Zea mays: one gene and its partner. The protein of the gene in region 1 interacts with the protein of each later gene in a pairwise test. Links are inferred from orthologs where the notes say so. Each region holds a gene or a part of one and is shown on either strand. Other genes may lie near its edges.

Evidence for each region. The genes of interacting proteins can lie anywhere in the genome.
Region 2: the proteins of PGP1 (region 1) and Peptidyl-prolyl cis-trans isomerase FKBP42 interact in a two-hybrid assay, tested with the Arabidopsis thaliana proteins (2 studies listed by BioGRID, with this or other methods). The link is inferred for Zea mays from reciprocal best matches to the Arabidopsis thaliana genes ABCB1 and TWD1.

Annotation. Positions count from the first base shown.
Region 1 is NC_050096.1:206,630,524-206,637,028, forward strand, and holds the start of PGP1, read right to left. Parts: upstream 3,502-6,505; 5' UTR 3,426-3,501; coding exon 2,822-3,425; intron 2,679-2,821; coding exon 2,042-2,678; intron 1,947-2,041; coding exon 1,636-1,946; intron 1,023-1,635; coding exon 793-1,022; intron 1-792. UniProt on the Arabidopsis thaliana protein: Brassinosteroid exporter that, in conjunction with ABCB19, supports the accumulation of exogenous brassinosteroids (BR) in the apoplast, thus promoting BR signaling initiation involving the specific receptor BRI1 and required for plant growth and stress responses.
Region 2 is NC_050097.1:149,009,721-149,016,092, forward strand, and holds Peptidyl-prolyl cis-trans isomerase FKBP42, read right to left. Parts: upstream 4,113-6,372; 5' UTR 3,973-4,112; coding exon 3,906-3,972; intron 3,594-3,905; coding exon 3,414-3,593; intron 3,102-3,413; coding exon 3,012-3,101; intron 2,616-3,011; coding exon 2,431-2,615; intron 2,282-2,430; coding exon 2,159-2,281; intron 2,080-2,158; coding exon 1,927-2,079; intron 1,482-1,926; coding exon 1,155-1,481; 3' UTR 974-1,154; downstream 1-973. UniProt on the Arabidopsis thaliana protein: PPIases accelerate the folding of proteins. It catalyzes the cis-trans isomerization of proline imidic peptide bonds in oligopeptides.

The DNA.
Region 1 (6,505 bases):
AAGGACCTCTCCTGTCCTGTGCGTGATAGCAAAGCATCCTGGCATGTTACTTGTTGGCAACCCACAGCAGCAAATGCGATGGCAACAGGCGCCTAACAATTGCCCTCCCGTCCTAGTCTACAACAGGCATCTATGTCTATGTGATGGACCCCGACCCCTCTTCCATGGCGTTGGTGGTGGTGCTGCCGGCTGTCATGAGCTCATGTGCAGCTGCCGCGGCCTAACAAACACGAACAGTATCTGATCTGAGGCTAGCTACTAAAGCTTTAGCCCCGGGCAGGCACGAGCGCAGAGTGCGCGACGCATGAGTGAGTGGAGTGGAACGGATGGATGACTTGACGCTGCATACACACCTTCAGTCCCTCGTGACATGAGGAAAAGAAAAGGCTGCGTGCAGATGATGGGGGAAAAAAAGATGCTCCCTTTGCGCTTTTAGAGTGAGTGCATGCATTTTTAGGTTTGGAATAAAAAAGATCGCTGTAAAGACGTAATCATAGTATTTGTGAGAAGAGAGAAAGTAAAAAAAACAACAACAACAACTGAAGTTAGGTTGTCTCGTAGCTAAAGATGCATTTATTCTAAGATAAGCTTTAAACTCTAGAAATGTATTTGATATAGTATTAGAGTGAGTTGCATAAGGTTGGACAGGGAAAGCAGATGTGGAGCAGCTAGGCAAGCAGGCACGTGTGGTCCAGACACCGACAAGTGGATTGGAGAGCAACAGGCAGCAACGGTGGGGAGCAAGCGAGAGAAGTGGCAGTGCAGCTAGTGAGCTAGCTATACGGGACGGACCTGCGTGTCGTAGCCGTCGGGGAGTTTGATGATGAAGGAGTGGGCGTTGGCCACCCTGGCCGCCTCCTCCATCTCCGCCAGCGTCGCGCTCTGGCTGTCCCGCCCCAGCAGCAGGTTCTCCCTGATGCTCGTCGCGAACAGCGCCGGCTCCTGGCTCACCAGCCCGATCTGCCGCCGCAGCCACCGCAGCTCCAGCGACCTGAGGTCGTGCCCGTCCAGCAGGATTTGCCCTGCCAAAACCGAATTGCAGACTTCATCTCGTTCTTCTTCTTTTTTTGTCTGAAAAAAAAATCTACAGGGCTACTATATATATCTATCTATACTGTCAACAGCACAACTGAACCACTTCTCACTGAGCAGTCGGTCAATGGCAGGCATGTGCTAGGCAACAGTAGCATCTTGCCAGGCAACAAATAGTTTTCTTTGTCCCGCGTTGCAGGCACACCCACCTAGCTTAGCTAGCTCTTCTGCTCTGCGTGAATGTATGTATGACCACAAACAGCCACGACCAAAGAAAGTAAAAAGAAAAGCAAGAAAGAGGATGGCTGGTTCTGGTTGGCTAGCTAGCAGGTAGCAGCAGCCCATGAGGCCGGCCAGCTCTGCATGCTCCAAGCATTCACTTCATTTCCATGTCAATGTGGTGGTACAGAGTTACTGCACAATTCACTTTTGTTTGGCAATGCAATGTACAGTGGAGGCTTCTTCTAACTGCTACTGTACTAGTCTACCCAGCAATGGCAGTTGGCGAAGTATTGTTGTTGCGATGGCAATGGCGATTGGCAAGCAAGCGAACTGGACATCCTCAGATTAATGCGCTAAAAGTAGTAACAGTACTAGGTATACCTGCGCTGGGGTCGTAGAATCTCTCGATGAGCGACACCACCGTGCTCTTCCCGGAGCCGGAGCTGCCCACCAGCGCGATGGTCTTCCCGGCGGGCACGCTCAGCGAGAAGCCGCGCAGGATGGGGACGTCCGGCCGCGACGGGTACGCGAAGTCCACGCCCCGCATCTCCACCCGCCCCGTCACCGACTCTGGCTCCGCGCCGTCGCGCGAGGAGATGCCCGGCCTGTGGTCGATGATGCGGAAGATCTTGGCAGCCGCCACACGCGCCTTGGCGAACGCGGCCATGCTCGGCGCCGACTGCCCGAGGGCCCTGCACGCGATCCACAGATACCGTCAGCAGCAATGACGACGGGGGCGGGCCGAGGAGCAGCAGAAGGAGAGAGTGCGTGGTGTGGTGGGCCTTACAGTCCGCCGATCATGACGGAGAACATGGTGGCGATGGCGAGCCCGCCGTTGGTGTGCTGGGCGCGCACGAGGTGGCCGCCGTACCAGAGCAGGAGCCCGTAGCAGCAGAAGACGGTGAAGTAGGTGCCGCCGAGGCCGAGCCCCTTGGCGAAGCCGCTGCGGTAGCCGATCCTCTGCGCCACGGCCAGCGCCGCCGAGTAGGCCCGCATCTCGCGCTCCTCGCCAACGAACGCCTGCACGATCCGTATCTGCGCGAGCGCCTGCTCCGCGATGCCGCTGGCGCCCGAGAGCGCGTCCTGGCTGCGGGACGAGAGCTTGGCGAGCGCGGCGGCGCTCAGCCCGCCGATGACGGCGATGAGCGGCACCACGGCCAGCGTGACCAGCGCCAGCTGCCACGCGGCCGTGAACCCCACGACGAAGCCGGCCACGAAGGTGGCCATGTAGTGGATGAGGTTGCCCAGCTTCTCGCTGATGGCGTCCTGCACCACCACGGCGTCCGCGTTGATGGCGTAGATCACGTCCGAGGCCCGCACGTCGGTGTCGAAGAAGGACACGTCCTGCCGCAGCGCCGCGTCCAGGTACCGGATCCGCATCCGCGTCGACTGCCGCTCGCCGGTCCACATCCAGCAAGAGATCTCTGCGAGCGGGGCGAACGATTTGAACATCTCGTTTGTAGCCACGGCGATTGGCTGACCGACGTGATTTGTCATCCAATCCAAATTGACCGCCAATTCGCGACGCACACAAGCTGGGGCGGCAGGAGGAGGAGGGATAGCGTACCTGCCCACGAGGATGCCCAGATTGCCGCTCCGACGACGAGGAAGTAGAAGGCGTACTTGACGACGAGGCGGACCATGGTGTCCGGGTCGTCGGCGTGGGAGCCGAAGGAGTCGACGAGGTCGGCGAAGAAGCGGAGGAAGACGGGGAGCGAGCAGCCGTGGACGAGCGCGCCGAGGGTGCCGATGAGCATGAGCGCGCAGTCGAGGCCGTCGGCGAAGCGGAAGAGGTCGCGCAGGGCGGCGGGCGGGGTGGGCTTCTTGCTGTCATTGGCGCCGGCGGAGGCTGGCCTGGCATTGGGCGGCTGCTCGGTCTCCAGAGAAGCCGGCGGAGGGGGAGGCGAAGAAGGAGGAGGAGGAGCAGCGCCGCCACCGGCAGATGTAGTAGGCGTGTTGCTGCTGCTGCTGCTGCGGCCAGCAGGAGCAGGGAGCGTGGGTTGCTCTGCTGCTTCCGGTTGCCCGGCTAGGAAGCCAGGAGGCTGGTGGGCGGGAGACGGCAGATGGAAGGCCTCGAGCTCGGGCCGGGCCCACTCGTCGCCGCCGTCGGCATGGGGCGAACCGAGAACGACGACGCGCGCCCTGATCTCCTCCGGGTCGCTGCTAGACATGGCGAGGAGGGGAGAGGAGGGAGGGGGAGCTCCTCTGCCCCCCACCTCAGCAGAGTGGCAGAGCAAAGCAGAGGAGGTGGAGAGGGAGGAGGAGTGGATTGGTTAAGAGCTGGAGTTGCTCATCTCGCCTCTTATAATAATTGGCTTGGGAGTGTGACTGTGTGTGTGAGACCGTCAGGCTCGCTCGCTCCTCCGGTTCCCATTCCCGGCAGCTCATGTCTTTGTAGCAGTAGAAGAGTCCAACTAGTGAGAGAGACTGAATGTACGGACCCTACTTGCACAGTACTCCTACATGTACTGTGGAAAACGAATGGGAATGGATGCATGCGGCACGTTGCGTTCTATCATTTTCATCGTCACTAAAATCTAACGGCCGATAGAAAACCTGCTGCGGCGAAAAGGTCTCATGGTTAATATTTATGAGTAGTTCGATTTGTCCGAAAGTGAATTTTAGGCTTGATTAAAAAAATTCTCTCGCTGCGAGTCCTGAGTGCACTCTAACTGGACCGTTGCAAACTAGATGGTGACGGCTCACTGGTGATGAGAACTAATGTTTAGAAATTTTCTCGACAGGACCATATTTTGGTCTCTTCTTAATATAATACCGATATAACGTTTTTTAAGAAAACCTGCTGTGTATATGAGAAATTCGTTTTTCTTCCATTCACTCGGTTATGCTGCTTTTTTTACCGATGAAGTGTCGGACAACTTTAGATCTCTATATACTGTCACTCGCTAACCATCTGTTTTGGTTTTGTTGCATATGCATCCACTGTGATAAAGAATGGATAAATAAGCATCTCGCGATACGGGTTCATGTGTTTTTCCAACATTCTTACATCCCTTTGCTTGATGCATTCCAAGTGCATCATTTTTCTCTTAAAACAAATGCATCCATTCTAGAAAAAAAACTATTTTATGTAGCCTTGAGATCTACCCCGACTCAACTTATTGAAGGTGTTTGTTGAGATACGGTACGCGTTGCATAATATGTTTTGAAAGAAAGGCACCACACACATATATATATATATATATATATATATATATATATATATATATATATATATATATATATATATATATATATATATATATATATATATATATATATATATATATATATATATATAGAGAGAGAGAGAGAGAGAGAGAGAGAGGAGTTAATGAAAGTCCAGGGCTTCCATTAGTACAGGAAACCCCAGCCAGGTCCATGCGCGTCCGATCGTGTGCTAGTTCTGGCTCGGGCGAATTCTAGCGTAAAACGTGAGCTAAAACAACATAAATGAGTACGAAATTTAGCGTAAATCGTATATCTGTTTCGTAACAGCAAATGGGCCCCGAAATTACGGCGTGTAAATCGCGTGCGTCCGATCGTACGCGGGTTCTGGCTCGAATGGATTTTAGCGTAAAACGTGAGCTAAAACATCATAAATGATTACGAAATTTAGCGTAAATCGTATATCTGTTTCGTAACAGCAAATGAGGCCTGAAATTACGGCGTAAAAATCGCGTGCGGCTGATCGTACGCGGGTTCTGGTTCGAATGAATTTTAGTGTAAAACGTGAGCTAAAACAACATAAATGATTACGAAATTTAGCGTAAGTCGTATATCTGTTTCGTAACAGCAAATGGACCCAGAAATTACGGCTTGAAAATCGTGTGCGGCCGATTGAGCGCGGGTTCTGGCTCGAATGGATTTTAGCGTAAAACGTGAACCAAAACATTGTAAATTAGTACGAATTTTAGAGTAAATCGTATATCTGTTTCGTAATGGCGAATGGAGCCCAAATTTACGGCGCAAAAATCACGCGCCATCGGTCGTGCGCGGATTCTGGCTCGGACGGTTTTAAGCGTAAATCGTGAACCAAAACAACGTAAATGAGTACGGATTTTAGCATAAATCGTCCATCTATTTCATAATAACGAATGTAGACCGAATGTATCTCTCAGCGCACGAGGTTGTCATAAAACGCTTCAAGAAATTTCATAAATTGGTGTAAGATACAACAAGAAGTGATCTGAGGTAATTGTAGCGTAAAATGCAAGCTAACCATCTACAGGAGAACTGTTTCGGATCTTACAATAAGATATAAGAGATAATTATTCCTGAACTCAACTATGATAATGTCGTGTTTACATTTTAGTTGTTGGTACATACACACAAAACTCTATTTCACCATAACACCACAGTTAGCAAAAAAAACTGAGTTCAAAAGGCTCTTCCAGCTTTCCTGATGTGGAGAAAATAGAGATGGCAATGGGTACCCGCGACCCGATACCCGATGGGTATTTACTCCATTAGGGTATGTATGTGGGCTAAATATTCTACCCGTGGGTCTGTTATTGGGCAAAAATCTTCACCCAATGGGTAAACGGGTATTAGAACGTTCCGCCTTCACCCATACCCGTTAACCCGTGGGTATAAAATACCCAATATAAACTTATCTGAAGCATGAACTTGGACTTCAGTCATCCAATTTTTTTACTATTTAACAACAATTTAATGATCATGTAATGGAACATGTAATGTGCTATGTAGTACTATCATAGTGTTACTACTTTATCCAATTATCTTTGGTGTGTTGAATGGATGGTTAAATGATGCTAGAAAATTTTGTAATGTTATTTATATGGATATACTTGCCATTTGTATAGTATAATATTTTGATAGTTGTTTAATTTTTGTGGGTACGGGTGACCCGATGGGTGACCCATACCCACATGGGTATGGGTATGAGGGTAAATCCATACCCGCTAGTGTATATGGGTAACCCGGTGAGGTTATTTTTGTGTCGTGGGTATGGGTATGGGGTAGTAATACCCGGTGGGTATTTACCCATTGCCATCTCTAGGAGAAAACCACCGAGGTCCATATCTGCAAACATAACATGAACTGTTAATATGATCTTTCCTTGTTAATATGATCATCTTTTCTAGCTTGTTATGACTAACATAACCTACAGTCTAAACTAAATGCAAACTAGAGTTAGAAGATCAGTTTACCAAAAGAAAAATCTCTTGAGTTAGAAGATCAGATTACGACGAAAAGGTGCAAAAATGCCTACCCTTCTACAATAAAA
Region 2 (6,372 bases), on another chromosome or scaffold:
GGGCAGGAGCAGGACCGTTATTCAAGAAGCCCTCGGCCCAATAACACGGCACCAAGCCCGTTATTTTTGCTAAGTACGAGCACGACACAGCCTAATGTTTCACGGGTACGGCCTAGCCCGACCTGATGTATAGGGCCATCCATCAGGTACAGGGTCCAACCCGATATATATATTTTTATAGGAGTAATTCATTTCGTTAAACAAACTTTAAAAAGTTTGACCAAGACGGAGCAAGTAGAACAATGGAATTCTTATGATGGCAATGGCATCAGGAGCGTGTGTTCAGGGATAGGGTCTGTTTCACTAAAGAATTTGGAAAGACACATGAGGAGCGTGTCTTGTGATTTTTCACTAACAGGGTGTTTAGATCCCTTCATTTTATAGAAATTAGAATTTACTTAATAAAATAATTTATTTAGTTTGAAATTTGATATTCCAATACTTTCTAAAGTTCAGATATAGTTTATCTCAAATTTATGACGTGAAGGATGTGAAATGATTTTATGCATTAATATAATTTGTTTTTATTGTAACTTACATGACACTCTTCGTTTCACTCTTCCATAATAAATGTAGCACATAAATATCTCCGACATCTTACTAATAATAATATATAAATATATTTTACATAAACAAATTCTTTCCGATTTTCTGAACTGGAACACTTGTCTTTTGATGATGGAATCAGGAGCGTGTGTTCAGGCACGTTTTCTGAACTGGAACACTTGTCTTTTGATGATGGAATCAGGAGCGTGTGTTCAGGCACGCCGCCTGCTGCTTGCACTCAAATGTTTGTGATGCCAACATGCCATAGCAATGAACTGAGAGCCTGTGCTTTGTGCAAGCAGCTGCAGTTTCTATTGCAGCAGCATCCAACAGGAGAGTGAAATCTAGAGCTCCAGTTGTAGCAACAGTATTATTACTAGCATAATCTAAATATGAAAGCTGCAATATACAATGGCATAAAAGGCCCTTTGAGCTCCAGTTGAAAGACTGTATGAAACTATGGCATAATAGTGAACAACATCGTATAGAGTTCATAACAACTAATTGATCCGGACCGGCCGACAGTTCTACAGAAAATTCAACACTCCTTATAATACAAGGTTGGTCAATTAGGCCACCAGTTCTACACAATTTTCTGGTAAATTATCCTACTCGTTCTTCCGTTTGAACATCCCAGCCAGATAAAGGATAAATGACACCAGGCACTGCCAAAACACAACGAGGTACTTTGCCTTCTTCGGTTTCGCTTCAGGACTTGGCCCAAAGAGACCTTTGTAGAGCTCCTTCTGCTTCTGGTATAGTGCCTTGTCTTGTTCCGCGAGCAAACGGAGCTCCCGAATGATCTCCTTGTCTTCTGGGGAGTACTTCTTCGCTTTGAGGAAATCTTCCCTCGCTGATTCTGTCTGGCCAAGTTCAGATTTAGCTTTTCCTCGCCTGAACAGCGCTTTGACATTACTTTCATCTTCTGTCAAAACCTGAATAATATGTTTACAAAAAGGATAATCCATCAAATGGTAATTTTTTCGTTTGATTTTGTATCAGGACCATGGGATTGTTCACTTCATGAAACATCATGAGACCAACACCTTTTTGCAATAGAAAGGCTGGAAATGTGCAAATCAGCTGTTCGATACCTGTAATGTTGAATCTTTCATGTTGATATGAGCTTAGTTGCTACAGTTTTTTAACACCATTTAAAAAATTATCATGCTGTTACTGTCGGAACATACAATCCTGTATATTTTTTTGCTAAGGTCTATGCAAAGCCGTAAACTGTAAAAATGTTACTGTTGGAACATACAATCCTGTATAGTTTTTTGCTAAGGTCTATGCAAAGCCGTAAACTGTAAAAATGTACCCATGAATGTAAATCGTGGGTTCAAGACTGAATGTACTTATGGGCATGGTCGAGTAACATACAATGCTACACTGCGCAATAGCTTCATCGAATCTCTTTAGTTTGATCAGGCATGCAGCCATATTGAGATGGCATGGATTTTTCACAGCCAAGGCCATGTCTCTGTACTTTCCAAATAATTGAAACATGAAATCATCTCCCATGTATGCAATCGCCTGTAGAAGAGAACAGGTCGACTGAAATCAGAATATGCTGATAACTACAATAATGTCCAAAGTATAGCATGCTACTAACCATTTCATATTGCTGCATGGCCTCCTCAAGCTTCTTTTCTTTGAAATATGCATTGCCCTCAATCTTTCTCCTGTCTGCAGCTGCAATCCTCTCTTCAACTGTCATGTCACTTCGGGATTTACCCTGATTCACAGTTTATCATTATTTGGAACTTCCCACATTGAGAAAAGTAAGTAATGCTAACCAATATGAATAATCTCAGCCTACTCTTCAAAAGAATAATATAAGTGAATCATAATGTGGGGTGGAGGCAGTAGACCTTTGTTTCTTACCTCTTTAACATCATCAAATCCAATGAGTTCAACTTCATAAACAAGGTCTGCCATTGGAGGGACATTTGGGAATGAAAAACTTCCTTCTTTGCCATAGCCTAGCTCCCAACCAACATGCAACAATGCACGCTCCCCGCTTTTCATGCTGCCAACACCGATGCCTAAACCAGACATTTGTTTTTTCTCTGTTGATTGAGGAGAAAGCTTTAGAAAGTTTCCCCATAGGCAATTATCACTGATAAACACTGTTGTACAGCTGAGGTTGTCCATATGATTCTCAGGCTAGTTACCCAGTACCTGTAGGCTTACTGGCAATGCAACATAAAAAGGGTGCAAATCACAACTAACTATGTATATTTCACTCTTTCATCTTACAGCAAATTAAATCATAAATAGAAGGCATGACAGACTACTTGAAGGATAACTGGTTATATAGAATCGTAACTAAGAACCATCATTATTGTACTATAAAGGCATAATAGCATGCAATGTAAGCTGTTTGCATTCATGGAATAGATGGGTGAAATGCACGGAGCCGAGTAAAACTAAGTATAAAATAAGCGAAGTGATTGTTGTGGCACCTTTTCCAAGTACTAGTTCAATTGGATGTTGCTCTTGCCAGGTATCCTCAAATTTATGCGATGATCCTTGAACCCATGCTCTATAGTGCACTGCAACACCAAGTTTAGAAAAAGAAAAAAAAGTTAAATTCACGGCAGTTCTCATGCGTGCTAAATCAAAATCAAACTAGCGTGCAACGACTGAATTAGGCAGCTTTGGACGAAACAGGGTTAAAATCTGAAGTTTTGAAATTTGACACAACCATAAGCATCTCATGATCTTGGTCGCTCAAACGAAACACATACAAGATATCGTTGTTATAGAATAAGAAACAGGACAGGCAGGCACAGCATATTAGCTCATCCTAAAATTCGACATCCGGAGCATGAGCATATGGTCCGAACCACCTACGCCGTACTCACCAAAGCACGTCGCGAACTTCAGCGGTTTCCTGCCATGGCCTTCTTTGATGATTTGCTTCTTAACCTTGTCGTGAAGGGCCTCCATGTCAGAGGAAACCACGGGTGGGGCGCTGCCATCCTGGGGAGGTTCAGAATGCACGAAAGAAGCCTCTTCTACTGTGATCTCGTTTTCGCTGGAGCCTGAGAATCAGAAAGCAGCAGAAGTCAGAAACCGGGGAGTCTGCGTCTTGACACAGATCCCGAATCTTATCGTCTATAGCCACACTGCAATTCAGGGAAGTGTAGTGTAGTGCGGCAGGAATTGGCAAGCCGCGGGTGTGGTGGGATCCGAAACTGCCTTGTTGTAAAGTAACCGCGGCCCAAATCTCCCAAATGGCCAGAATCCCCAACAGAACGTATGAGCAAGCCACCAGCACCCGATTCACTGAGCACCAGCCAGCCACGAGTGGGGTAGGGGCGGTAGTAGTGGCCGAGCGCGAGGAGGGTACTCACCAGCGGCGGGATCGGACGCGGCGGCGGGATCTGCAGACGCCGCAGCGTCTTCTTCGACGACAGCCATGGGTTGCGGATGGGCGGGCCGCAGACGGCCGGCAGAAGCTTCTAGACTGCGGCGCGGCGGGTCGGGTAGTGAACTTGGGCGGGCCAGAGCTCGGTGACCTGCGCTCCGTAGCGCTTGCTTGATAAGCTGCGGTAGTTTGTGCTTCTGTTTTTTTAATAAAATAAATTATACATGGAGAGACGGATACAAGCCATTGCCACCCGGGGCATGATCTAAACTCATTTTAAGCCCTTTTTAATGGGTGTTTGAATGCACTGTAGATAATAGTTAGTTGGCTAAAAATTACTGTTAAAATTAACTAGCTAATAAATAACTAGTTGACTATTAGCTAATTTGCTAAAAATAACTAATTGTTGAAGTATTAGCTACTGTTTGAATGTATTTAGCTAATTATAGCAGTTAACTATTAGCTCTACTGTCTTCTAAGAAAACATAAAAACACATAACTAATCTACCTCGTTATAATTAGGTCTTGTTTAGAACCTATAGAGCTAATAGTTAGCGAGTGAATGAACTAATTGTTAGCTGTGAGATAGCTAACAATTAGTGTCGATATTAGCTGATGGTGTTTGGAACCCAACAACTAATTTTTAGTAGCTAACTATTAGTTTGAGGAGCCTTAATCACATAGAGAGAGAGAAAGATGGTAGCCTTAAACTCACAGGCGAAGCCAAAATTTGAGTTTAGAGGGGACATATCAAATTAGGAGGGGCTACTATACCAATGTATTCCTTCAATTCATCTGTATTGGAGTAATTTTATGTGAAATTTAAACTAAATTCTACACTAAACCATCTTAATACTCATTGTTGGGTACAGACACGTAGTCAGGTGGGTCCAAACAAACAGAGACTAAGGGGACGAGCTCACGTGCACGACAAGACATTTGGTAGGTGAAAGGGAAATAGAGTCAAACCTTTTACTAAATGATTTTGGTGGTTGAATTGCCCAACACAAATAATTGGACTAACTAGTTTGCTCTAGATTATAAGTTCTACAGGTGCCAAAGGTTCAACACAAACCAATAAAAAGTTCAAGATAGGGTTCAAAAAGAAAGGAGCAAAAGAAACCGAAGGCTGCCCTGGTCTGGCGTACCGGACTGTCCGGTGCACCACCGGACAGTGTCCGGTGCACCAGGGTGGATCAACTCCAACTCGCTACCTTCGGGATTCTGGAAATGTCACTCCGCTATAATTCACCGGACTGTCCGGTGTGCCAGCGGAGCAACGGCTACAGCGCAACGGTCGACTCCAACGGAAACCTGTAAAAGCGCTACAGTGCGTGGACAGAGTGCGCAGAGTCAGAGCAGCGCCAAAAGGCACACCGGACAGTGAACAGTGACTGTCCGGTGCACCACCGGACTGTCCGGTGGCCCCATCTGTCAGAGCTCCAACGGTCGAACCCTAACGGTTGGGTGACGTGGCTGGCGTACCGGACAGTATCCAGTGGTGCACCGGACTATCCGGTGCGCCCATCGACAGACAACCTCCCCAACGACCACTTTGGTGGTTAGGGCTATAAATACCCCCCAACCACCACACTTCAAGGCATCCAAGTTTTTCAGACTTCACATTCAATACAAGAGCTAGTGCAATCAATACAAGACACAAATCAAATAGAATCAAAGCCTCTCCAAGTCCCATTTCCACTCCAAGCAAATAGTGACTAGAGAGAGAGTTTTTGCTCGTGTTCTTTGAGCTCTTGTTCTTGGATCGCTTTTCTTCTTTCCATTCTTGTTCTCAACACCTTTGTAATCAAAGCAAGAGACACCAATTGTGTGGTGGTTCTTGTGGGGTCTAAGTGACCCATTTGATTGAGGAGAAAAGCTCACTCGGTCTAGGTGACCGTTTGAGAGAGGGAAAGGGTTGAAAGAGACCCAGTCTTTGTGACCACCTCAACGGGGAGTAGGTTTGCAAGAACCGAACCTCGATAAAACAAATCATCGTGTCATCCGCTTTATTTGCTTGTGATTTATTTTCGCCCTCTCTTTTGGACTCACTTTTATTTCTAACGCTAACCCGGCTTGTAGATTGTGCTTACAGTTTGTAAATTTCAGATTTGCCTATTCACCCCCTCTAGGCGACTTTCAATTGGTATCAGAGCCCGGTACTTCATTAAGAGTCTAACCACTCGAAGTGATGTCGAGAGCATCCGCCAAGAGGGAGATCGGGACCGGCGGCGACCCATTCGCTAAGAGGGAGCATCCGCAAGCTCGGGGAGAACCCATTCGAGGGAGTCCGCCCACAAGCACAAGGAGGAATCCTCTTCCTCCATCAAGTCACAATAGAGAGGTGACAAGAAGAAGAAGATGAAGAAGGTGGTCTACTACGAGACCAACTCTTCGTCACCCTCCACCTCCGGCTCCGAATCGGCATCCAACTCTTCTAAGTGCCATGAGCG